Macaca fascicularis: one gene and its partners. The protein of the gene in region 2 interacts with the protein of the main gene of each other region in a pairwise test. Links are inferred from orthologs where the notes say so. Each region holds a gene or a part of one and is shown on either strand. Other genes may lie near its edges. The genes, in order: RAB4A, VPS52, WTAP, RNF41, TXLNA, TEAD4 and TSTD2.

What was found.
Region 1: the proteins of VPS52 (region 2) and RAB4A interact in binary tests that used the Homo sapiens proteins (3 or more experiments, as listed by UniProt). The two-hybrid records come from large-scale screens. The link is inferred for Macaca fascicularis from reciprocal best matches to the Homo sapiens genes VPS52 and RAB4A.
Region 3: the proteins of VPS52 (region 2) and WTAP interact in binary tests that used the Homo sapiens proteins (3 or more experiments, as listed by UniProt). The two-hybrid records come from large-scale screens. The link is inferred for Macaca fascicularis from reciprocal best matches to the Homo sapiens genes VPS52 and WTAP.
Region 4: the proteins of VPS52 (region 2) and RNF41 interact in binary tests that used the Homo sapiens proteins (3 or more experiments, as listed by UniProt). The link is inferred for Macaca fascicularis from reciprocal best matches to the Homo sapiens genes VPS52 and RNF41.
Region 5: the proteins of VPS52 (region 2) and TXLNA interact in binary tests that used the Homo sapiens proteins (3 or more experiments, as listed by UniProt). The two-hybrid records come from large-scale screens. The link is inferred for Macaca fascicularis from reciprocal best matches to the Homo sapiens genes VPS52 and TXLNA.
Region 6: the proteins of VPS52 (region 2) and TEAD4 interact in binary tests that used the Homo sapiens proteins (3 or more experiments, as listed by UniProt). The two-hybrid records come from large-scale screens. The link is inferred for Macaca fascicularis from reciprocal best matches to the Homo sapiens genes VPS52 and TEAD4.
Region 7: the proteins of VPS52 (region 2) and TSTD2 interact in binary tests that used the Homo sapiens proteins (3 or more experiments, as listed by UniProt). The two-hybrid records come from large-scale screens. The link is inferred for Macaca fascicularis from reciprocal best matches to the Homo sapiens genes VPS52 and TSTD2.

What each region holds. Positions count from the first base shown.
Region 1 is NC_088375.1:19,811,121-19,814,620, reverse strand, and holds part of RAB4A (ras-related protein Rab-4A), read left to right. Parts: intron 1-597; coding exon 598-660; intron 661-2,235; coding exon 2,236-2,390; intron 2,391-3,500. UniProt on the Homo sapiens protein: The small GTPases Rab are key regulators of intracellular membrane trafficking, from the formation of transport vesicles to their fusion with membranes.
Region 2 is NC_088378.1:138,434,954-138,438,453, forward strand, and holds part of VPS52 (vacuolar protein sorting-associated protein 52 homolog), read left to right. Parts: intron 1-227; coding exon 228-378; intron 379-668; coding exon 669-769; intron 770-876; coding exon 877-1,009; intron 1,010-1,134; coding exon 1,135-1,192; intron 1,193-1,548; coding exon 1,549-1,682; intron 1,683-1,795; exon of another isoform or gene 1,796-1,949; intron 1,950-2,156; coding exon 2,157-2,312; intron 2,313-3,500. UniProt on the Homo sapiens protein: Acts as a component of the GARP complex that is involved in retrograde transport from early and late endosomes to the trans-Golgi network (TGN).
Region 3 is NC_088378.1:11,259,235-11,263,402, reverse strand, and holds the start of WTAP (pre-mRNA-splicing regulator WTAP), read left to right. Parts: upstream 1-1,368; 5' UTR 1,369-1,509; coding exon 1,510-1,548; exon of another isoform or gene 1,549-2,011; intron 2,012-4,168. UniProt on the Homo sapiens protein: Associated component of the WMM complex, a complex that mediates N6-methyladenosine (m6A) methylation of RNAs, a modification that plays a role in the efficiency of mRNA splicing and RNA processing.
Region 4 is NC_088385.1:62,991,851-62,994,675, reverse strand, and holds the end of RNF41 (E3 ubiquitin-protein ligase NRDP1), read left to right. Parts: intron 1-21; coding exon 22-373; 3' UTR 374-2,325; downstream 2,326-2,825. UniProt on the Homo sapiens protein: Acts as E3 ubiquitin-protein ligase and regulates the degradation of target proteins. Polyubiquitinates MYD88. Negatively regulates MYD88-dependent production of pro-inflammatory cytokines.
Region 5 is NC_088375.1:202,849,163-202,853,218, reverse strand, and holds the start of TXLNA (alpha-taxilin), read left to right. Parts: upstream 1-1,256; 5' UTR 1,257-1,310; intron 1,311-1,881; exon of another isoform or gene 1,882-1,883; 5' UTR 1,884-1,915; coding exon 1,916-2,084; intron 2,085-2,815; coding exon 2,816-3,151; intron 3,152-4,056. UniProt on the Homo sapiens protein: May be involved in intracellular vesicle traffic and potentially in calcium-dependent exocytosis in neuroendocrine cells.
Region 6 is NC_088385.1:3,905,657-3,909,156, forward strand, and holds part of TEAD4 (transcriptional enhancer factor TEF-3), read left to right. Parts: intron 1-377; coding exon 378-517; intron 518-1,524; coding exon 1,525-1,698; intron 1,699-3,500. UniProt on the Homo sapiens protein: Transcription factor which plays a key role in the Hippo signaling pathway, a pathway involved in organ size control and tumor suppression by restricting proliferation and promoting apoptosis.
Region 7 is NC_088389.1:60,520,294-60,523,793, reverse strand, and holds part of TSTD2 (thiosulfate sulfurtransferase/rhodanese-like domain-containing protein 2), read right to left. Parts: intron 3,068-3,500; coding exon 2,909-3,067; intron 2,290-2,908; coding exon 2,151-2,289; intron 190-2,150; coding exon 1-189.

The DNA of each region.
Region 1 (3,500 bases), on a different chromosome or scaffold from region 2:
AAAATCTAGCAAAGAGGGAGAGATTGACAATGTAAGGGAAATCGTGTGACCGAAAGACGCCTTCAACGAAAGACGCCTTCTTGAATGTGAGAGTGGGTATGACATGCTGGCACACTCAGTTTCCCCATGGTGATGGGGCAGGGATGCAGATGGGTGCAGGGCCATGGTGACTATGGATTCCACCGCCCCGAGAGGTGGCGAGAACTGGAAGAGATGGAGAGAGCTGTGCCAGGGAGTGGGGTAGATGAGGAGCCCACAGAGAAGCGAGTGGATTGCTGAGCCCCTTAGTGACCATCTAGGCGGTGGTGCTGGCTTCCGCCTGCAGACAGCTCACCCTGCTAGGGGTTCTCAAAGGAGACATCCATCAGAGAGCTGCATCCGCTTTGAAGGAATCTCCTACTTGTCACGGTGATGTGATTTCAGTCAGAGTAACCCCTCTCACGTATGTTCAGGTGTCTTTGAATCATTTCTCTTTTAAACCGGCGTCTGTCCCTGTGCCGTGGTTTACAGAGCAAGTGTGGGTGTTTTTTCATGGGAAGGTGGGATACGGTAAAGGGTCTCCATTGGTTGAAAGTAAAACCAGTGTAATTCTTCCAGGTCCGTGACGAGAAGTTATTACCGAGGTGCGGCCGGGGCTCTCCTCGTCTATGATATCACCAGGTAATGCCAGCTCCCCGTGGTGAAGGAGGCTGCTCAGTGCCCTGCAGCCCAAAGGCTGGTCTTGGCAAGGTGCCTTCCGTGCAGTGTGTGCTTTGTGTGTCTGGGGACGGTGGTGTGGCTGGCATCCAGGAAGCCCCTTAGCCCTTCCATCTGGGGTCTCAGAGGTCTTTGAACAAGCCCCTACCACTGCTTTCCCATGCAGAGAAATGTATTCGTAAGGTTTTAGGTAGATGAAGCAATCTGTCTTATTGCATTATGTTTCTTGACATGATGCTTGGACACTTTCCTTAAGGTTCACAAAGCTTTATGTACGGTAAGTTATTAGAAGTGAGTTGAGAGAGGGCGAGGACACAGACGCTGGGCTGAGATTGCTTGGTTCAAATCCCAGTTGCAGTCACTAGCTGAGTGACCCTCTCGGGCCAGCTGCTTCAGCTGCCTGGGCCTTAGTTTTCTTGTCTGTAAGATGGAGGTAGTAATAATCCCATGATCCTCAGGAGGTCATTGGGAGATTTAAATTAGTTAATGTGAAGCACTTAGATAGTAGCTGTTTGTGACATATGGCAATTTAACTGAAATAAAATAAAAAATTCTGTTCCTCGATTGCACTGGCCACATTTCAGGTCCTCAGTAGCTACACGTGGCTGGTGACTACCATATCAGAACAGATTATAGAACATTCCTATCCATGAGGAAATTCCATTCGACAGCGCTGATCTGAGTAGCACTATCTCAGAAGCGCGTCATCTAAATGGCATCACCTGGGAGCCCTTTCTGGGTAGGAACCTGTCCAGTGAGAGGCTGTCGGTCAGCCGCTTCCCTCCTCCAATCTGTGTCCCTGGAGACAGGCATTCTGAGAGGAAGCAGGCAGTTTCTGGCCCAGCACTTCCTGCACTTGCCCCAGCAGTGAAAGGCTCTGCCTGCTAAAGTGTGAAGTCATCAGTCAGGCTAGCAAAGTGCCATGAGAAGAACTCGGTCCTTAGACACATGAGGGCCAAAAATAGTAAGTCTGAGAGTTGGTTCTGGAGCCAGACAGAGCTGGTCAAGTCCTGGCTTTGCCACTGGCTGCTGTATGACCTAGGGCAACGTAATTAATCTCTCTGGGCCTTGGATTTCTCAGGGAAAAGGAGAATAATGGCAGTCTGTGTCATGGAATCCTTATAAAGAATCAGTGTGATAAAGTTCTGTAAAACAAAGTGCTGGCACATTGCAAGGATTCATTAAGTGGCAGCAGTTAGCTATGAAATCTTGCCTACCACAGTCTAATACCTTGCACATGCTAAGAGCTCAGTAGATGTCAAATGAATGAAGGAATATATCTTTCCTTTTGCTCCATGACTGGGCAAACAAAAAATGACAAAATATCTGACTTACTGTCTCATTTTACCAGAAACAAAACGAAACAAACTCTGTGGATATGGTATATGTTTGGTGTATTCACGTTGTCTGAGTTACCTTAAAGGTGTTGGTGCCATTACCCTGAAATGTTGAAAAGCGGTGTGAGTAGTGAGAATGACTGGAAAGAGTTGCTAGTTTTATAAAATACATGTATTATTTTCACAATCTTATATTACGCAGCCGAGAAACCTACAATGCGCTTACTAATTGGTTAACAGATGCCCGAATGCTAGCGAGTCAGAACATTGTGATCATCCTTTGTGGAAACAAGAAGGACCTGGATGCAGATCGTGAAGTTACCTTCTTAGAAGCCTCCAGATTTGCTCAAGAAAATGGCAAGTGACCTTTTACTTCTTACTATTTTTCAAATGGCATATTTGAGGATAAAAGCATTTCTTTGAATTTAAAACATATATTGGAATTTCGAGATCAAACTAGATTTAGGAAATGTGGAATTTCCAATTGTTTTTACTATAAATTAGACCTGTTTAGCATATTGTTAGTGTATTGCATTCTGCCTGCAGAAGTTACTATAATGATAAAAGCAAATGTAGTAACATTATGTAATGACTTTCCAGTCGAAGGTCTTTGAATATTAGAGATCTTGGGCTAAAGTGAAATTTATAACAATAATCTTTAAAGACTCTAACCAAATGATGTCATTATTTTTTAATGTCTTTTGAAGGAAATTTGGTGAAGTATTAGCCCAAATAGAAAGGGAAGCAGAAGAAATACTTGGCTTATTGGCTTCATTTGCTAAACTTAAGTCATTTGGTTATAGGTGACTTTGAAACTTTTTTGAATTTCCATGTAGAATACGTGAAAATGCCACATAAAATTAATGGTTGCTTTATTAATGGATAAGAGAATGATTTTTTAAAAATTCAGACATTTTAAATAACTTTAATTTTTAGAACCAAAGACTATAATATGCTAATATCAATATTTGATTGGACTCTAAGATTCCAAATTATATTGTAACTTTACTAGTTTCTTGCTAAGAAAATAAACAGAGAAATCCATACGCCATCATGACAGTTTTTAAAAAACTGTTTAGAAATCAGAAGTTTGGAATGTTAACAAAGATGAAAAGGAATTTAGATGTCATCTAAACTCATTTTTACAAGTGAGGATACAAGAGGCTAGCGAGGCTGTGGTTTGCTGAGAGAGCAAGCAGAACAGGCCTTTCTGCTGAGATGAACAGCCACTCTAGTGGGCAGAAAGAATACTGATTCCTGTACTCTCTCTTCATGGGCTGTATGACAAACTGCAGTATAGTCCCCTAAAAAGTGTAAACACTTGTAGGTCATATTTGTGGTGACACTCAGATTGTTTGAAGGAGGACATTGCAACTTTGCCTGAAATCAGTGGCAGGGCCATTTTGGCGAGCCAGCTCCTTCCTGATGGCTGGTCACTCAGCTGGGGAAGCCTGGTGGCTTGCTCAG
Region 2 (3,500 bases):
CGAGACTCCGTCTCAAAAAAAAAAAAAAAAAAAAAAAGAATGATGTAAGATCAGGTGTATAGTGGGAAGGTCCAGGAATAGAAAACTTTGTACATGTGTCCTGACTATATGGTACAGTGCAAGGTGGTAGAGATGATAGGAGCTGGAGGTAAGGAGTGTGGTCTGGGTCTGGTTTAGGGATGTCTGGGTTTCCCTTGTAACTTATCCCACCCCTTCCTGCTACCCAGGGCAATTCTGGAGGCTCCAGTGACAGAGCCCAGGTTCTTGGAGCAGCTACAGGAGCTGGATGCCAAGGCAGCTGCAGTCAGAGAGCAGGAAGCTAGAGGCACAGCAGCCTGCGCGGATGTCAGAGGCGTGCTCGATCGGCTCCGGGTCAAGGTGGGAAGTAGGGATGGATACCCTGGAGGCTACTAGAAGCAGCCCTCCCAAGATCTTCACTATGGATTTTCTTGGCAGAGCTCACTGTAGCCTGTCTCCAAGAACTTCACCCTGCCTTTTCTGGGCAGCCCCATTCTTGCCTCTCTGGGTTTCCTTGAAAATCTTGAGAAATACCAAAGAGATATGCACCACTTTTCAATCTATGTTTACCATTTGTTGCTTCCCCCAATTCCTCTCATACAGCAAAAAGGTTGCAGCTTCATGCTCTGTGCTTGGTTCCCCACATCTAGGCAGTGATGAAGATCCGAGAGTTTATCCTCCAGAAGATTTATTCCTTCAGGAAACCAATGACCAACTATCAGATCCCCCAGACGGCCCTGCTGAAGTACAGGTCACAACCCCAAGGAAGTGCATGGGATGGCCTTTGAGCTTTTGAGCAGCCTAATGGCATCTGGTTTCCTGGGAGACAGGTAGACTGACATGTTCCTGACCTCCTAGGTTCTTCTATCAGTTTCTGCTGGGCAATGAACGAGCAACAGCAAAGGAAATCAGGGATGAATACGTGGAGACGCTGAGCAAGATCTACCTGTCTTACTACCGCTCTTACCTGGGGCGGCTCATGAAGGTGCAGGTAAGGTCAGGAGGGAGAGGCATTCCTGGGCACGTGGACTGGGAGGAGGGGACATCCCTGGGCAAGGAATATTTTATTGTGTTGTCGGAAGAGACGGTTATCAGTTCTCTTTTCTGTTTTCTTAGTATGAGGAAGTTGCTGAGAAAGATGATCTAATGGGCGTGGAAGATACAGCGAAGAAAGATATCCTAGTCCTGGGGAACCCTCATGCCAGGTCTTGAGAGTGGGAGGACTTTCGGCTGCAGCCACCAAGGCACTGTTCCTTACCTTTTCCTATGGGACTGAAACCTTTTAGAATGTGATGAAAGCTATAGCCTCCCTCCTAAGAAAGATGCGTCATTTTGACACATAGTTTTGCATATGATTGCAGGAGGTGGGGAGACACCCTGAAGTCCGTTCACAGATGTCATCACGTGGGGCCCTAGTACTGGGAAAGAGGGCTGACTAGGCCATGTCTCGCTGTCTGGGGTCCCTGCAGATAGTGAGTCTTTGGGCCCAGTTATGGTCTCATTGTTTTCCCTGACTCTGACCCATCTTACGATTCTTCTCAAAGCCATCACTCCGCAGCAGGAACACCATTTTCACCCTAGGAACCCGTGGCTCTGTCATCTCCCCCACTGAACTTGAGGCCCCCATCCTGGTGCCTCACACAGCCCAGCGTGGAGAGCAGAGGGTATGAGGAGGAACAAGCTTCAGTCATGAAAGAGACTCTGAGCATGGAGGGAGGGAAGGCCAGACCTCAGGGCAGAGCTTCCCAACCTGCAGGCCCTGTCTCGATCCCCTTAGACTTGGGAGTGGCCTTCTCCAATCACTCCAGCCTGCTGTGATGTGAAAAGAGCTGGGAACCATTGACTTAAGGGCATGCAGAGGGGAGAGACTGGATGAGGGGAATGACGGTCAGAGGCAGGTGTTGAGGTGGATGCAGGAGTAGCAACAGCAGGTGGGTGTAGGCCCTTTTTGTACCCCTATGTTCCCCCACCTTTTCAGTGCCCATTCAGCTTGCTCTTTGACAGCCTGGACCTAGATGGATGCCAAGGGTCTGCCCAGCTCTTATTACCCAGGTTTACTGATTTTGCAGCCATATCCATGGGAAGTCAGTGTTGGGGTCCATCCCTTCTGTGTTTCTTCTTTACTTCTCCTCTCCCAGTATCCATTTGAGGCCCTCTTCCGCAGCCAGCACTACGCCCTCCTAGACAATTCCTGCCGCGAATACCTTTTCATCTGTGAATTTTTTGTTGTGTCTGGCCCGGCTGCACATGACCTGTTCCATGCTGTCATGGGCCGTACACTCAGCATGACCCTGGTAAGATTCCTATTTCCTGTACTATTCAACACCTTTGTCCCCAGTCTTCATCAGCAGCATAGTGGGGTCATGACTCTGGTAGAACTGAAATCAATCAGGATCCTCATTCTAAAATGTCTAAGCCTTGGCTGGGCATGGTAGCGCACGCCCATAATCCCAGCATTTTGGGAGTCTGAGGCAGTAGGATTGCCTGAGCTCAGGAGTTTGAGACCAGCCTGGCCTGTCTATGAAAAATAAAAAATTAGCCAGCTGTGTGTTGATGTATGCCTGTGGTCGTAGCTACTTGAGATGCTGAGGTGGAAGGATTGCTTGAGCCCAGGAGGTCAAGGCTGCAGTGAGCCATGCACTCCAGAGTGAGACCTATCTCTTAAAACAAAAAAAAGAAAAGCTGGGCACAGTGGCTCACACCTGTAATCCCAGCATTTTGGGAGGCTGAGGCGGGAGGATCTGTGAGTTCGAGACCAGCCTGACCAACATGGTGAAACCCCATCTCCACTAAAAATACAAAATTAGTCGGGCGTGCGCAGCCTGTAATCCTAGCTAATCAGGAGGCCGAGGCAGGAGAATTGCTTGAACCTAGGAGGAGGAGGTTGCAGTGAGCCAAGACTGTGCCACTGCACTCCAGCCTGGGTGACAGAGCAAGACTCCATCTCAAAAAAAAAAAAGTCTAAGCCTTGTTACTTAGACTTGTCACAGTGTTACTTCCCATGAAATCCTCAGAGTGTAGGGTCCCTGAGACTCCCCCTGCTGCTGCCCCACAATCAGAATCAGGCAATAGCACGTGAAAACTGAGGGTCCTCCAAACCCCTGACCCAAGCTCAGCCTGGAACTCTGCTGTGATAGGCTTGTGATCGTAGATCCTGCTGCAGCCAGGTGCAGTGGTTTACACCTGTAATCCCGGTACTTTGGGAGACCAAGGCAGGAAGATTGCTTGAGGCCAGGAGTTCAAGACCAGCCTGGGCAACATGGCAAGACCTTGTCTTGACAAAAAATTTAAAAATAAGCCAGGCATGGTGGTACACACCCATGGTCCCAGCTACTTGGCAGGCTGAGGTGGGAACATCACTTGAGCCCAGATGTTTGAGGCTGCAGTGAACTGTGATTGTACCATTGCAATCTAGCCTAGGTGACAAAGCAAGAACCTGTCTCTAAAGTCAAAAACGCCGGGCGCAGTGGCTCACACCTGTA
Region 3 (4,168 bases), about 130 Mb from region 2:
TTTTTCCATTCCCACCAGGAAAGGCAATTTCAATGTGTATTTCCATTGTAAGTGAGGTGGAGCGACTTTCTATGTTCATGAGGAACACAGAATTACATAGAACATAAAAAATGACTATTTTTTCTGAGAATCATCTGTTCATGTGCTTCCCCATTTTCCCCTTTGGCTTTTGGACTTTTTGTTTTCAATTTTTGAGCGCTCTTGTGATACAAGTTGCAAAGATTTTCTCCAGACTGATCTGATTCACTGGGAACACACTATGGCCATCTGGAATGTACTTTAATCTTATCCTAATAGATCACCCTACTACAAGACACTCCTTTGGGGATGAACAGGTTCGAGAAAGCCGGCTAAGGACAGACCAATCAAAAGAACTACGTGCTCCTCTAGTAAGTGTTTAGAGACTGCTTCTCCAGGTAACACCGCCCTTACTCGGCGGTCCAGATGGCAGTCTTGCTTCAGGGAGTCTACTCCACTTGCAGGACCTCTTTGGTTGGGTTCACTAAACCTCACAGGGCCGCCTTCCCCACGTTCGAGTTAGCAAGGAGCCCTCAGCGCCGCGGACACAGCGCAACCTCCGACGCCGGAGAACAATAGCTCCTTGATGCGTCTCCAGAGATGTCAAGGAGGAACGAACCCAGCGGCCAGAAGGCTGCGCCTCACGACTGAAGAGAGGGAGGACATCGGATTCTAAGTTCCCAAAACTTACAGGTGAGCTTCTGCTAAGAGCAAAGGCCCGCGGCTCGCCGCCCACCGCTTCTCTTCTGAGGTGGCACCTGGTTCTCCGGCACGCGGAAGCATCACGGATGAGCGTCGCGAACACAAAGCGGCCAATCACGGGCCGCCTTCGCCCAGATCCCTCCGCACGAGGCCGCCCCCGCAGCCGCAGGTGGCCCCGGCGAGTACGTCCACCTTCCCTTCCCGTGATGCCCCGGGGCTGACCTCCGACCTCGCTGGCCCGCCCCTCCCTTCGGCCGCTTCCCTTACCGCGCTAGCTGAGCTCCGGCGCCCGCGGAGCTCGCGCCAGGCTCCTGGGCAAGGACGGGGCGTATTACCGGGGAGCAGCTGCTCCATTGCGCCTCGAGGCCCCGATCGGGCTAGGCTGGCGGCCTCCCTCCCTTCACCTTTCCTCTCCTGGCAGGGCCCGGCGGCGGGCGAGTGACTGCGGCCACGCCTGAAAGGCGACTCTTCTGTGAGTGGGCCAGAACGCGAACATGGCGGAGCGGGGAGGCTGGCGGGAGGCGGGAGGCAGTGGCGCTGGCCTGCGGCGAGTTTGGGCCGGCTGTGGGGCGGGGCGGGGCGGAGCGGAGCCCGGTGGCGGGGCGGGGCCGGGCGGCGGGTCCTGGTTTCCTCCCTCAGCGCCATTTTGTGGCAGCGAGACCCACAAATAAAGGGGAGCGCTGGGGTTGCGGCGGGACTAGGAGTGCGGCGGGGCAGGCGCCAGAGCTGTCCGGCTGCGCGGGGGCCCGGGGGGCCCGGGCGGCAGGGCAAGCAGCGCGGCCTCGGCCTATGCGACTGGCGGCGCCGGCGCGGCTTCTGCCTGAAGAGGTAGGTGCGGGCCGGCTGGCGGGAGCGGCCGCGGGGGACCTCCGGGGCTGAGGGTTGGGGCGCAGCCGCCCCCGGCCGGTAAGAGGCTGGCAGGGCCCGAAAGGCCACTCGGGCCCGGCGCGGCACCAGTCTCGTTATCCGCTCTACCTTCCCGCCAGCGGGGAACACTTCCGCCGCGTCGAGGCCATTTTATCTCCGTCCTCCGTCCCCAGGGCCCGGGGTGAGAGGGGTGCTTCGGCGGCCGGAGAGACCGGCCACTCACGGAGGTCGGAGGATGCCCTCCGCGGGCTGAGCGGCGGCGCTCGTTTTTTCCTCACCTCGGTGTTGCTCCCTCCACCTCCCTTGGGCCTCTCCCGAGTTCAGCAAGGAAAAAAAGAAACGTTCGTTCCCTACATTTCATGTCACGCAGTAGGATGTTACTGCAGCTACGTTCTCTTGTAGACTTCCATTTTTAAATGAGTGCATGTATTCTGAGGAAAGAAACTGAATTATTTGCAGATTTTTGTGAAATCCAAGTCTTACGTTGGATCCCTGTGAGACAGTTACTACATTATTTTTTTAACCTTTTTTCATAAGTCAGTGTACACGTAGTGGAAAAGGCCAAGTTCTTGTTTTGATAAGGAAGTCACTTGGTTGGTTGATCCCAAAGGACTAGCTTAACATTATCAAGGACTAGCATAGCTGATTATGTAAAAAAAAAAAAAAAAAAAAAAAAAAACTGTTTAGTTTGGTAGGGAAATACTTCGATTAGTATGTTACAGTTAGAAGTTGTATTTGTGCCTATTTTATCTAGTTTTAGTTAATTCTATTGCTTCGGAAGATAAGTGGACGTCATAGATCCATCACACGGTCTCGTTTTTTGGATTTTAAAATTTTGACCATTAAGTTTTCTACGATAAACATGTTGTGGTCATTTAAAACCGTAATTTAAAATTATGAGCGAAAAATCTTTTCAAGGTGGATACATTTTAATTCATTCAAGTAGCATCTGATTAGGCAAGTCCGCAGGTTGGCTTGTGATAAGGTTGAGGTTACATTTTACAGGTTTGGATAGGTGTGTTTCTTACAGTGCTTTTAGATCTTAAGGTATCTTAAGCAGACACATAGTTTAAAAGTTCAGTATTTTTCGTACTTTTTCAGTGGCAGAATTTGTACAAGCTACCAGAATGTCTAACTCCTAAAGGATAAAAGTAATAATAATAGGGTGTCCCAGGCACAGCTTATTTTTACATGGCTCTTTTATGTGTAGCTTTTCCAATTCAACGTTGAGTCATGTTTGCTGAAAATATTTTTGTGTATTGTTTGTCAGAAATAAGCTGGTAGAGATGAAACAGAAAATATGTAAAAGCCCTATGATGTGGAGATGAGCATTGTCACAATTTGTACAGTACAGTAAAGCGTTCAAGGTCCCCTGTGGTCTTGTATGTAGTATTGAATCCCTTTGAATATATTGTTTAGCAGTTTAGATCATTATATATTTGTTTCTTGCTCGTCAAAATTGTATGTTAGTAGGTCCTTCAGCAAAACAAGACTATGATAGTGTTTTTAATTTTTTTAGTTGTCTCCAACTTTCTGCCTCTAAATATTTTGTTTCTTGTAGTTACTAAGCTTAACACAGAAAAACTTCTCAGTATCTCCACAATAGTATACTTCATTGTGTATAACGGTATTCCATCTAACTAGAATATAGTGCTATAAATATTTTCTGCCTTTGAAGATACAGTTAGTAGAATTTAATCTTTTCTAAGTGCACGTTGAAGTTGCCTTTTATGTTCATATTATGTTCATATTTTGTTTGAAAAATCTATTTGTAGCATTTTTATTGTGCTGAAAGCATTAATATTTGCAGCACTTTGTGAGGCAGGCAAAATTATCTTTTTGCTGACTTGAAACTGCAGGAGTTAAAAGACTTGCTTGGAATCACGTATGGCAGATAGAGGGTAAGGAAAAGATGGCCTTTCAGTTCCTCATCAGTACCTTGCTCCTACAGTTTCTGAAGATTGATTTCTTACATTCAGCTATGATTTGTTTCACCAAGGTACTGTGTCTTCTTACTGAAGTTGTGTTGGCTGGCGCTTGCCTCTGTTCAGAGGGAACTGAGTTACCTGACTTTATGATGCTGAGAGCCAGGAAGGTACTGGGATCTGGGATCTTAGGCACCTAACCAGTCAAGACTGAACTCCATACTAAGCTGTTTTTCTATGTTAAGACATCAAGAGTAGATGGTTGTCCTGATATTCTGAGATATATTATCTCTGAATTATCTACATAAATAACTGAAACCTTTTCGTGTTATAAAACTAGTCAATCATGTTACCACCTTTTTGGGTGGCACCAAATTTGAGACCCTTACCCCAATTTATTAATAGTTGTTTTAATCACCTAATAGCTAATCACCTAATGACTCACAGTCATTTTCATCCTGGAAAATGGGAACTAACTTTGACTTTGAAAAGTGCTGTTATTCAATGTGTGACTCATAAGAACTGAGCATATTTTATTATTTTCCTTCAGGATTCAATTTTAATTGACTCCAAATGATGTTATGGTCATTCTGTTTTTCTGATGTGACAGTAGATTGTTCTGAAAACCTGGAATATTCATTGTCTTTATGAATCTA
Region 4 (2,825 bases), on a different chromosome or scaffold from region 2:
TCTTTAACCACCTCCACACAGGTGGGTGAACTCCCTTCAGCCAGCAAGAGTGACCCGCTGGGGAGGGATGATCTCGACTCCTGATGCCGTGCTCCAGGCTGTAATCAAGCGCTCCCTGGTGGAGAGTGGCTGTCCTGCTTCTATTGTCAACGAGCTGATTGAAAATGCCCATGAGCGTAGCTGGCCCCAGGGTCTGGCCACACTAGAGACTAGACAGATGAACCGACGCTACTATGAGAACTACGTGGCCAAGCGCATCCCTGGCAAGCAGGCTGTTGTCGTGATGGCCTGTGAGAACCAACATATGGGTGATGACATGGTGCAGGAGCCAGGCCTTGTCATGATATTTGCTCATGGCGTGGAAGAGATATAGGAGAACCCGACCAGCTATCAGGAAGAGATGGAAATCAGAAAATCCCATCACTCCAGCAGCTGGGACCTGAGTCCTCTCCACCATCCTTAATACTGTGGCTTATACCTGAGCCACACATCTCACTGCCCTTCTGGCACTGAAGGGCCCTGGGGTAGTTTGCTCAGCCTTTCAGGTGGGAAACCCAGATTTCCTCCCTTTGCCATATTCCCCTAAAATGTCTATAAATTGTCAGTCTGAGTGGGAAAGCCCCCACCTCCATCCATTTTCCTGCTTAGGGTTCCTGGTTCCAGTTATTTTCAGAAAGCACAAAGAGATTCAATTTCCCTGGAGTGTCAGGACAGAGTAAGGAATCTCTAGTCGTCCCTCTCCTCCAAAACCAGGGAATCAGAGCAGGCAGGCCTGTTGACTCTAAGCAGCAGACATCCTGAAGAAATGGTAAGGGTGGAGCCAAATCTCTAGAAATAAGTAGTGAGGCCAGTAATTGGCCATCACGGATGGCCCTTAGGGGAAGACTGGACCTCTGTGCCAAGCAGTATCCCTGTTCAGTCCACCTTAAAGGTGCAGGCACCCACTGGGTCTACCAGTATGCAGGTTGGGATACTGAAAATTTCCAGATGAGCTCTTCTTTCCTATAAGTTTTCATAATTAGGGAATGCCAGGGTTTAGGGTAGGGGTTAGTCTGTTGGGGTTGATGTGTTCAGCAAGAAGCTACTCCTAGCTTTTGCTAAAATATGGTCAGCACTGCCTCTTGTGGCACAGGCCATAATTGTTCCATAGAGCCCTCTCTAGCCCTGTGACTGTAGTTAGTTACTTTGATAATTTTCTTTGGCCATTGTTTATATTTCACAAACTCCACCTACTTCCCCTCCCCTTCCCCCTTTTTTTTTAAGAATGGCCTGATCATGGCTATCTCAGCCACATTGTTGGCAATTTAATTTATTTACCTTTTTTTTTTTTTTTTTTAAAGAAAGGAAAAAAGAAAAAAAATCAAACTTGAAACTTTTGATGTTCCTATTGTGGGGATTTTGGATAGGGTGGGACAGGGATGGGGGTGTGTTTTATATTTTTTCCTTTTCAGCACAACCTTTGGCTTTAATATAGGAAGAGCCAAGGGAGTCCTCGGCTGAACTTACAATATCTGCCCCAAACCTCTGTAACCCCAACTGAAATGAGGAGCTTCCTCTATTCCTGTGAAGGATATGACAGTCCAGCATCGATGCCTGTGCCCTCTGGAAAAATTTCCTCCTAGCCCTTCCAGGGCCTCATCATAAAACTCTGGATTTAGAGTATTCATTTTGAAGGCAACCCCCCGCTTCCCCAAGTTTTCTTGGAGCTGTATAGCTGGGTTCTAAGCTTCACCATGCAAATCAGAAATTTTATCTCTAAGTACAGGCTGTGCTGTGTCTCACCCACACCCCCCGGGGACTTCAGTTCCATTTCAGGTTACCTGGGGCATACCTTGATCCCTAGAGTGACTGGCAGAGTAAGTAAGAGAAGGGGAGGGATAGTAGGTGTGATAATTTTAATATGGAGGTGGGAGTGTGGTTGGAGATAGAAAGTCTCCTCCCCACCATGTGATAGCTTCCTCTCAGAGTTTTATTCCAGGCTAGCTTGCTGCAGGTCTGGGTAGTTGGATCATGGCTCCACTGGGATTGGGGTGGAGGGATACAGCTTGAGGGGAGTAGGGTTCCAGCTCCGGGACATTGTGCTCAGGAATTTGAAAACGCTGCTATACTTATTCTGGTTACTACATTTCTTCCAATCCCCTTTCCCCTACCTGCCTTACCAAGGCTTATACTGTCCTGTCCTTACCCTCAGATGGAGCCAGGAAGCTCAGTGAAAGGCTTCCCTACCCTTTGCACTAGTGTCTCTGCGGGTTGCTGGTTGTGTTGTATGTGCTGTTCCATGGTGTTGACTGCACTAATAATAAACCTTTTACTCAACTCTCTAAATTCTTCAACATTACTCCCTTTCCTGGGAAGGTTTCCCCTCTGCTTTTGCCTTTCTCTCACCTTAATTCCCCTTCTTCCTTACTTTGTTACCTACCCTTATCTTAGCGCTAACTTCTCTTTCAGGAGGATGTCTGGGAGTAGTGTGCACTTCGCAGCTGCTTTCCCATGTACCCTCCTGCATTCTTCCCTCCTATCTCCTGTTCTGTAGCAGCCAAAGGTGTCTCTCTAGTTATCTGAACTGTGTGCTTCCCAGGGTCTGCCTTCATCCTAAATTCCATGTCTTCCCTGAGTGGTCCTGAGTTTTTGGGATAATTTCTACAGAAAATATGTATATATTGTTTTCCTTTGTCCCACAAGCAACTTTGCTTTAGAATCTAGAATTCCTTTGCAGGCAGAGAAGCCTCCACCCTCCAGTGTTTCCTAACTAAGAACGTAAATGTAAGGAGGGAAATGTACTTGCAGAGGTTTCATAATTATTTACTTACAAAGATAGTCTTCAT
Region 5 (4,056 bases), on a different chromosome or scaffold from region 2:
TATTTAGCCAACAGTTCTTGCAAAATTAACTGACTTATAAGCAAATAGTAATTTCAACACCTCACTGCTAATGCTGTAACAGAACTCTGCAGACCTAGGGAGCAAGTACGGATTGCAGAGCACTGGGAAGGCTCTGAAGTGACCTTTGAACTGGGCCTCAAAAAATTTTGGGTTTGGCAAAAGCCAAACCTCTTAGGCTTCAAATTCTAGGCACAAGGATTGTTGGGTTTGACTTCATTATCCAGAAACAATGAGGATACAGAATTGTGATCTCACGTGTAGAGAATTGTGGGGTTTTTTTCTACTTTAACCCCAGTGAGACTTCGTAGAGTATGGGGTAGAGAAAAGGCTCATGAATATGCCTGAAGCCTGACTCAGCACCTTCCTGAGGAACTGACTGCCAAAACGGTAATGGAGAGGGGAAAATATGACCTACTTTCACAAGTTACCTTGACTGCCTCAGGGAAACCTGCTGTGGTAGTGTTTCTTCTGGGTAAAAGACAGGGTAGCCGAATAGTTACCTGGGTGCTGGTGTCAGACTTACGTTTTGAATCCCTGTTTTAACCACTCACTATCCATGTGACCTTGGACAAGTTACCTAACCTTTCTCTTACTGTCCTTTTCCGTAAAATGGGGATAACAGATAGTAGTTATTTCTATGAGTGGTTATGAGAACCAAGCTATTAGATACTGGGAAAGCACACAGTAAGCGTTCAAGGAACTGTTATTGTTATTAAAAGCCTCCTTCGGAAGAAGGACATCGAGGCCCAGAGAGAGAAAAGAACGTCCAGCCACACAGCAAATCCGTGATGAAATTGGGACTGGAGTGTGGGTCTCCTGAGTCTCAGTTCAGGACTCTTATCCCTCTTCCCGAGTCCTCGGAGTTCCTGGATGGAGTCACATTTGTTCACGGCCAGGGAGGAAGGTTTGATGGAGGCCTGCAGGAAACAATAGCCAGGCGCAAAGCCTTCGGGAGTTGAAACATAGCTTCTGCGAGATAGAAACAAGGTTGACGTGGGCACTCGTGCAGAATGACGGGCTCCTTTTGGACTCTGAGGACTACAGCCCCTTATGCACTTCGGGACTGCGGATAGCCCCTGCGTACGGAGGAACGCGTAGACTTTTCCCTGCCCCGCCCTCCCGGCGCGCCCGCCTCCGAGGCCGCCCTCGCTTAGTCCTTCCCAGCAAGCTCCGCGCCGGCGCCGGCTATTGATTGGCTGAGGCGGGAGCAGGCGGCTCGCCGGCAGCGGTTACTCGGGGTTTCCGGTGCGAGGCCAGAGCTGGGGAAGCCGTCGGACGTCGGCGGTGAGGTACGTGCCGTGGCAGCCGTTGGGCGAGACTATTTGAGGGTGTGCGGGCCGGGATGTTCTCGGCCTGTGGGGAAATCACGCCAACTCCGCGCGTGGGCCGGCGGCCGGGACGGGGGGAGGGGGGGTGGCCTGCCTGGGGGGGGGGGGGGTGCGCATGCGCGGGCGTGCCTCGAGGCTGCAGGGCGCGCAGGGCGTGGGTGGCTGCGAGCGCGGGGGGCGCACGTGGGGCCTGAGGGGCGGGGGCGGCGCCGGCGCCGGGAGTCCCGCCACGTCAGTCTCCGGCCCTGAGCCAATCCCGGGCCCGGCCTGCCGCGAGGGGGCCGGTTGTGTAGAGAAGTGGCTCCAGGGAGAAAAGAGGCCCCTTCCCTCACCCGCTGCGGGAGCTGCGCCCCGAAAGCCTGTCCCGGCACGCCGGGCTCCCCTGACCCTCCAAGACCCGAGAGCCGTTGGCGCCCTCTGCCAGGGCCGGCCGGTCCGTTTAAGAAGCTTCGTGCGCCTGCTGTGGGGATTTTCTGATCCAGGCTGCGAAGAATTTCGAAGTCTGGAAAATAGCAACTGTGTTTGTTTCTAAAGGATCTTCTCCTGACCCAGCATCTCTCATCACAATGAAGAACCAAGACAAAAAGAACGGGGCTGCCAAACAATCCAACCCAAAAAGCAGCCCGGGACAACCGGAAGCAGGACCCGAGGGAGCCCAGGAGCGGCCCAGCCAGGCGGCTCCTGCAGCAGAAGCAGAAGGTCCCGGCAGCAGCCAGGCTCCTCGGAAGCCGGAGGGTGTGTGCCAGCTCTGCGTTGCCAGCGGGCAGGGGGTGGAGCTGTGGGGCCGGCCTCGCTTCTGGACTTAGAGGCCGAAGCCAGGTTGTCCGGGAGGAGGGAATATAGAATGAGAGGACAGTGCTGGGGCCGCGGTCACCCCCGAATTCTGGCGAGTTGGCGGAGCCGCTCCCTGTAAGCACAGGAACAGAGTTCTGGAGAGAACCTCTAACGGGATTAAGTCAGGTGGCAGCCAAACGGGGCACCCAGTCAGGAAATCCAGGTCCGGTTTGAAACACCTCAGCCACTAGCAGCTAACTGCCCTTCCTGTTTGAGGCATTTCTAGAATGATCTGAATGGTAAAAAATGGTTTTGTGAGGGGGAAGGAGATGGACTAGAAGTTGCACCATGCCATCCCTGTGTGCTGATGCTTTACATACTTTTATGATCATAACAAACATGTTCGAGTGGTAGTGAGAAATAGTTGTGTCATTTTACAAGTAAACAGAAGTGAAGCTTAACTATATTATATTACTATAATTTCTTGATTCAAAAGATGTTTCGAATTTAAATTCTGACAGGAACTAGATTTGCTGAATAATACTCCATTCTTGCTTCTCAGTTTCCATAAAAAAAGAAAAGTTAGGCAACATTTAACTCAAACTGATGAGTTTGGCTGGACCTGAAAATTCCCAACCAGTGGTATAATTTGTCTTGTTTCTCACTCTACCCCTCATCCTCTCCTGCTGTAGGGGCTCAAGCCAAAACGGCTCAGTCTGGGGCCCTTCGTGATGTCTCTGAGGAGCTGAGTCGCCAATTGGAAGACATACTGAGCACATACTGTGTGGACAGTAACCAGGGGGGGCCTGGCGAGGATGGGGCACAGGGTGAGCCAGCTGAACCCGAAGATGCAGAGAAGTCCCGGACCTATGTGGCAAGGAATGGGGAGCCTGAACCAACTCCAGTAGTCAATGGAGAGAAGGAACCCTCCAAGGGGGATCCAGGCACAGAAGAGATCCGGCAGAGTGATGAGGTCGGAGACCGAGACCACCGAAGGCCACAGGAGAAGAAAAAAGCCAAGGGTTTGGGTGAGCAGAGGGTGGCTCTTTGTGAGGCTGGTGAGGGGAGGGAGTTTGGACTTGACGTTCTCTGGACCAGTCTGTTCCGCCAGGATTCAAAGGAAAACGGTACTTCTCAGAACAGCAAGTCACTCTAGTGTAATCAAAGCCAGGGATGTGGGGGCCACGGCATAGAGAGATGCAGGGGTTCCCAGCACAAGGCCTTCTGGCTTTTGGAGCAATTGGGGGTTGGAATGGGACCTGTTCTCTCTTTGAGAAAATGGAGATGGGAGGCCAGGGTGGGCTCCTGTGCCAGCCAGTACTACCTGCTGTGTGATCTCGGGTGTGTCCCTTCTCCTCTCTGGGTCTTAGTTTATACTTCTCTTTACAGTAAGAAAATTAGACTAGGCTGGAGTTGAAAACCCAAATGTCTGCATAAGCTGGGCTGGCCATGGGGCCACATGAAGATGTAGGCTACTTTATCCAAAGACTTTACTGCTTCCTGATTAGTTGCTCTCAACTAGCCAACTGAGAGCAGGCAAAACTGCAGGCTGGGTGCAGGCTTCTTTTATTTTTATTTATTTATTTATTTATTTTTTGAGACAGTCTCGCTCTGTCACCCAGGCTGAAGTGCAGTGGCACGATCTCGGCTCACTGCAAGATCTGCTCCTAGGTTCACACCAATCTCCTGGCTCAGCCTCCCAAGTAGCTGGAACTACAGGTGCCCACCACCACGCCCGGCTAATTTTTTTTTGTATTTTTAGTAGAGACGGGGTTTCACTGTGTTAGCCAGGATGGTCTCGATCTCCTGATCTCGTAATCCGCCTGCCTCAGCCTCCCAAAGTGTTGGGATTACAGGCGTGAGCCACCGTGCCCAGCCTTCTTTTATTTTTTTAATTATTTTTGTTTGTTTGTTTGTTTTTTGAGACGGAGTC
Region 6 (3,500 bases), on a different chromosome or scaffold from region 2:
GTGATAGTTGATTCATCTGGTTATTTCCCCGACGGGAACAGAAGTTGCTGGACAGCAGGAACTGAACAGTGCCTGTTCTGGAAGCCGTGGTCCTGCAGGACCCCAGTTGCCCTCCAGAATCCAGTCTTGCTGGGCGGTTCCATGCAGAGTCCTGAGCGGCCTGAGTTGTACCAGGCGAGCCCCTCCCCACCAGAGAGGCTCCAGGATGCCCAAGCCTTGCACTCTCTCCTCCACCTCTGCTAGGAGGTCCGTTTAGGGAGACAGGCGGCCCCCCAGGCAGCACGGGTCTGTCCGAGGAGGCCGGGGGTCCTTGCAGAGGGTGCGGGCAGGGCGGGTGTCCGTGACCAGGTTCCATGTGCCTCTCTCACTTTGTGCAGGGTTTGAGTCTCCTGCAGGGCCCGCCCCATCGCCCTCTGCGCCCCCGGCACCCCCGTGGCAGGGCCGCAGCGTGGCCAGCTCCAAGCTCTGGATGTTGGAGTTCTCAGCCTTCCTGGAGCAGCAGCAGGACCCGGACACGGTAGGTCCTGGCCTGTGCCTGGCTGGCTCCCCGCCACCCCCTCTGCCTCTGTTTCTGCTTCCAGTGCTCTTGTCCCACTCCACACTGGGGCTTAATTCAAGTTCCTTGTTCCTTTATGGTCTTTCCTTCCATCCTTCCCCCGACTCCTTTCCTCCTTCACGTCACCCCCTTCCCTCTTTCCCTCCTCCCTGGCCCAGTGCCCTGTTCCTCCCTCCCTGTCCTGTGTTCCTCCCCTCCTAACCCAACCAACCCTTAGTCCAAGGTCGCTGTGGTCCCAGCCCCACCCCCACACTGTCCCAGCCTTTCCCTGGCTCTGAGAGGCAGGCAGGAAGCTGGGGAGTCTCCTGTACGTCTGCTCCACATCCTACGGGATGCCAGCCTGTCCCCTTCAGTGTCCAGTGTCCTGGGTGACCAGCGTCACCTGCAAAGATCAGAGGGGGACCTGGAGGAGGCCAGCGTGACAGGATGCCAGGGCCCTTCTCACTCTGACATCTTCAAACTTTTTTTTTTTTTCTTTTCTTGAGACAGAGACTTGCTCTGTCGCCCAGGCTGGAGTGCAGTGGTGTGATCTCAACTTACTGCAACCTCTGCCTCCTGAGTTCAAGCGATTCTCCTGCCTTAGCCTCCCGAGTAGCTGGGATTATAGGTGCCCGCCACCACACCTGGCTAATTTTTGTATTTTTAGTAGAGACTGGGTTTCACCATGTTGGCCAGGCTGGTCTTGAACTCCTAACCTCAGCTTCCCAAAGTGCTGGGATTACAGGTGTGAGCCACTGTGCCCAGCTCAAACTTCTTTTTAACTGACGACCCTGTGAACCGAATAGACTCTTAGAAGTTCAGGATGTAAAATAAAAGAAGTCTTTTACCATCTCCATTTCACTTACGGGGAAACTATGGTCCAGAAAGGCCAAGCGGCTTGCGCCGGGTCACGTGGTGGGCATGCAGAGCTGGGACTGTCTGACCGTCTGGCCTGTGCTCCGCCTCCCTCAGACCCACTCTCTCTACAGTACAACAAGCACCTGTTCGTGCACATTGGCCAGTCCAGCCCAAGCTACAGCGACCCCTACCTCGAAGCCGTGGACATCCGCCAAATCTATGACAAATTCCCGGAGAAAAAGGGTGGACTCAAGGAGCTCTTTGAACGGGGACCCTCCAATGCCTTTTTTCTCGTGAAGTTCTGGGTAAGCCTGTGATAAACTCTTCCTTCCTACCACCAGGGCGTCCGTGGTAGTGAGAATGGGGCGAGAGTACCCAGAGCGTGCCCTTGCCACAGTAGAAACTTGGGGAGGTGGCACCAGTGAGAAGGGGAGAGCAAGCCCAGCATGGCTATGGGGTGGTCAGAGCTGAGCTGAGGAACAAGGCGGTGATCCCAGAGAGCTGGCCTAGTCGAATGAAGCCTTGTCTCGTGGGTGGTGATGGCAGCTAACCCCGGCAAGACGTGGAGCCCTCAGGAGGTGAAGTTCCAGAAAAAGACAAAGGGGACCCTACGGGGATGAGTGAAGACATTATGAGGAGCGCCCTTGTCACCCAGGTCTTTGAATGACAAGTCCTGCATGGGTTTCTGGGCCTGGAGCTTGTCCTTCAGTGCTCATGTCCAAGGCATGTTGGGCTGAACAGAGCTTGGAGAAGGGGAGGGAAGTGTTGGATGGGCGAGGCCACCCCAGAAGAAACACCCACCCAACTTCTCAGATAGCTCAGCCCATAGACTTGGCCTCTGCGGCCCTCCCACCTCACCCCTGGGCAGGTGTTTTGTGGGTAGAACCCCCTCCATTAGAAACGTCTTGTCTGAGGCCCAGAGGTACAGTAGCTGCCCTGGGAGCTTAGCTTCCTGCGGGCCCAGTATGTGCAGAAAAGGGGTGCGAGGAGAGAGTCAGACAGATAAGTGCTAATGAAGCCAGCAGTGAGGAAGGACAGGAAATCAGGCTCTGTGACTGAGGGTTGGAATATTCTCAGGACATGGACTGAGGTTTTGGTGGCTCTGCCCGCATCCCTCTTCCCCACTCCCCTTCAGCTCTCTGCACACTCTTTTCTTTTTTTTTTTTGAGACGGAGTCTCGCTCTGTCGCCCAGGTTGGAGTGCAGTGGCGCGATCTCGGCTCACTGCAAGCTCCGCCTCCTGGGTTCACGGCATTCTCCTGCCTCAGCCTCCCCAGTAGCTGGGACTACAGGCGCCTGCCACCACGCCCGGCTAATTTTGTTTTGTATTTTTTTTTTTTTTTTTTTTTGGGACGGAGTGTCGCTCTGTCGCCCAGGCTGGAGTGCAGTGGCCGGATCTCAGCTCACTGCAAGCTCCGCCTCCCGGGTTTACGCCATTCTCGTGCCTCAGCCTCCCGAGTAGCTGGGACTACAGGCGCCTGCCACCTCGCCCGGCTAGTTTTTTGTATTTTTAGTAGAGACGGGGCTTCACCGTGTTAGCCAGGATGGTCTCGATCTCCTGACCTTGTGATCCGCCCGCCTCGGCCTCCCAAAGTGCTGGGATTACAGGCGCGAGCCACCACGCCCGGCCTTACACGTTCTTTTCGATGCCTCTTGTGCAGAGATTCTTACCATTTATTTGCTCCCAGGCCATTTTCCTAATCTGAAAGCTTTACTTTTCCTAGAAAGACGCGTATTCACACCAAAGTTTACATACACGTTCGGATGGCTTTGCCAGCTCCCAGTGAGCAGCCCCCAGCCTGGCTGTCACCCACAGCTGAACGTGGGGGCAGGCTGTCTCCAGAAGGGACAAGTGTTGGAACTGAGACCTATGGCCTCTGACCTTCAAGACACTTAGCGTTTGCGCTCAACTAGCAGGATGGAAGTTGGACCCCAGCCTGAGGGATGGGCATATCTGTTGGCAGAGATGGGCAAGGCTGTTGCAGCCTAGGAGTGCATGAGTAGTAAAGGCAGAAGGAAGTGAGCTCTGGAGTGAAGTTGAAGCCGTAGGTAAAGGTATGAAAGAGGGAATAAGAGGAGACAACTGGGAAAGTGAGTTACATTCTGGA
Region 7 (3,500 bases), on a different chromosome or scaffold from region 2:
ACTCGCATTCCTCTTTAAAGTTGTCTTGCGTAGGGCCTGAAGCTTTCCTGCTCCCCTTGTCTTGACATGTGACACAACAGGCTGTGAATCCTTGTCCTTGACAGGCAGGGCAGGTCAAAACGAGCTGACGGCACTGGAGAGTGGAGCAGAGTTTATACTGGTCCCACTGGGCTCCACAGTATGAACACTCTGGGGAGGAAGGAAAACCATCATTATAAACACATGCGTTCACACACATGTGGACAGGCATTGCTCCCTCTGCTGACTAGAATCTCAAAGATCTGTGGAACCCGGGGAAGGTTTCCAAATAGTAAGTCTTCTGTCTTCCAGCAATAACAACCAACCACCACCCCCACCACGCAGCTTATTTTTTTGGGGGGGTGACTTCTGGGAACTGTCTGCTTCCAGTATTTACTTTTTTTTCCTTTTTCCCATCTAGAGAACAGGTGGTAACTAGATGGTAATGAAAGTTTCTCTCTCTCACCAGCTATTCCAAAGATGGCCAACCACCTCCCAACCCCCTTGTTAAGTGGCCTTCTCCCCTTTGATCATTCCCTTTTCCAGTGGGGACAACACACGTAAATACAGGCAATAACCCATCTACAGTAAGCATCTGCAGTCCACACCCCTCTCCCCGAGGCCTGCGTCTCTCCTGCTGTTGCTAGGACACTTGACCATCTGATTCCTAAAACTCACATCATCTTCTTTCTCCACCTGTTTTTCCCTGATGACCTTCTGTTACCACTTATAACATCATTCTTCCTCACTTTTCCTTACCTTGCTTATCTAAGCTACCTCTGAGCCTCTTCTCTCTCCTTCATACTCACACGCAGGTACCCATCGAGTCCAGCCAATATAACCTCTGTAAAATCAAATCTACTCTTTCTACTTGTTGAGAATTTATACTCCATCTAGCTCCAAAACAGATCAGAAGTAGTGATCAATAAGAGACAACTCAAAACCACTAAAATGAAAATAAGACCAAAAAAGTAAGGGAGAGGACAATCAAACTCAAATCTTACTCAAATGTGCATGCCACCTGTGTCCACAGAGAGCTAGGAGTTCCTACAATCATGTGTGCTATGGATTTACCTGGTAGTCTGGTGAAGCCTATAGATCCTGGCCTAGAAAAACTTTTTTGAGACAGGGTCTTGCTGTTTCGCCCAGGCTGGAGTACAGTGGCGTGATTTAAACTCACTGCAACTTCAACCACCTTGGCTCAAGCAATCCTCCTGCCTCAACCTCCTGAGTATCTGGTACACACCACCATGCTCAGCTAATTTAAAAAAGTTTTTGTAAAGACATAGTGAGCTATGTTGCCCAGGCTGGTCTCAAACTCCAGGGCTCAAGCGATCCTCCCACCTTGGCCTCCGGAAGTGCTGGGATTACAGGCATGAGCCTCTGTGCCAGACCAAGAAAAATATTTTTAAATGCATAAACATGTGAGATCACAAAGGAAACCAACTATACAGAAATACAAAATATCAAAGTATTTTTCAAAGTCTGTGATATAATAAGACGTGCCATTTATTAACATATTATATATCAACTGTTAGTGGTGGGCCTAATAACTATTTTCATATTGAAGCAGTGATGAGTATAAATACTATTTTGAGGTATCTGAGGCAACTGGAACATGATATGAAAGTACTGTAAATCCTACTGAAGACAAAGTCACAGGTACATTAATACAACTGGTTTTGTTGCCTACATTCATAACTGAAGGAAATACTTCATTTTAGTGAGGTGTTATTGAAAACAAAGATAAAATTATTTTCCCATCCAAATTCGCAGAACCCCTGAAATCTACATGTACCAGTTCCAGGTTAAGAGCCCTGAATTAGCCCAGTAGTCCAACTCTTGACAGGTAGACAGGCAGGCAGGCAGGGCAGGTGAGATGATCCCCATGTTAATAGGCTTGTCCAGCTAGGAATGGTGAAGCCAGAATCCCAACCCAGGTCTCCTGACTCCTGGGCTAGGGTTCTCTCAGCTGCACTGCTGGGAAGATGGTGGCACAATGTACTTATTTTCCCTGCTTATTCAGTGCTCAGTAATGAGCACTGGCCTGTCTTCTCTGTGTCATTTTTCTAGAATGGTGAACTGACAATGTGCTTCATTTCAGTTTGGGCTCGGAGCCCATGCTGACCTACCTGACACCACATCACTGTTGTAGGACAGAGCATAGCGTTCATCAAAAACAAACAACTTCCCTTTGTAAAAGCCATCAGGAAACTCTTCCAAGTACTTGTGGATGCCACCCTTGAGCTGGAACACCGCCTTGCACACTCCCTAGGTGTGGAAAAACAACAGGAAATCTGAAGAGCCAGCAGAGAGACCTGTTAAGATGCTCCACGGAAGAGCGGCGCATGGCGAGGAGCACTGACATGGAGGACTCATGGCCGCTGCTATCAGTTAGGGGCTCCTGGCTCCCACTGCGGTACACTAAGGAATTGCTGACCAAGGGGTCAAGGCACCAACTGGCTAGATCTTGCCTCCTAGTGGGATGGGTGATGAAAGTAGGCAGGGCCTTCACCCTCTAGATCCTGGGAAGCCCAACTATTTTTGCTGCCCCCTAAATATAGGAAGACACCTGTTGGGACATGTAATGTTACTGAATTTGCTCTTCTCAGGATCAAGCAAAAGGATTAGGAAAAGGGAGATGTTAACTAATCTCTCCCTTTTACATTTGATGAGTCTCTAAGACTGTTAAGTGTTTTTCATATCTTGAGATTAAAGATCCTCAGATTCTGTACTTATGAACTCCATGCAAGAGCCATACGAGGGGTGAAGGCATGCTTTGGCTGCTGGGGGTGGGGAGTACTGCGGGCAGCAGATAGCTCCACAGAGGCTGCTGGTGGAGCTGTCTCCTTCACCACCATGCCCACAGTGCCCCGGGGTGGTGGCTCACCTTGGCTTTGAGGTAGGCTGAACCCCGCTCACAGCGGATGCCCCCGGTGCAGTACATCAGCACTCTCTTCTCTCTGAAAAGTTCTAGGTTTTTGTCAACATAGCTAGGGAAGTAACTGAATTTCCTGATGTCTGGGGCTAAGCAGCCTTGGAATCGTCCCTGTAACATAGGAGCAACAAAAGGAAAATTATCACAAAAACATACCTGGTAGGAACAAAGGTTCTTTTTGTACCCAACAAACCCTACCTTAGCAAAGAAGCCCCTGCCAGTTGCTAGTCTCATCCCCACTCTGACCTTTCAACTTCAAGATCTGAACTTGAAACCGAGGCTGGTGGCTGTGGGTCACCTTCCTAGGGTCCTCAGGGGAACTGGAGAGGCTGCCGAAAGGCAACTTTGCAAGATCCTTGATACATGCCAAAGGCAGGCTCATGGGAGTCACTAAGTATGTTATGTGCCTAGATGTCTTTAATTCATATTTTCTTAGACTCTCTCACCAGATTCTGAGTTTTAGGACTTGGGTTTTCTCTGAAGCTGCTAGTACTGGCAGGAGATCCATGTGGCCACAGGTGGGCACACACAAGGTCCCCTTGGG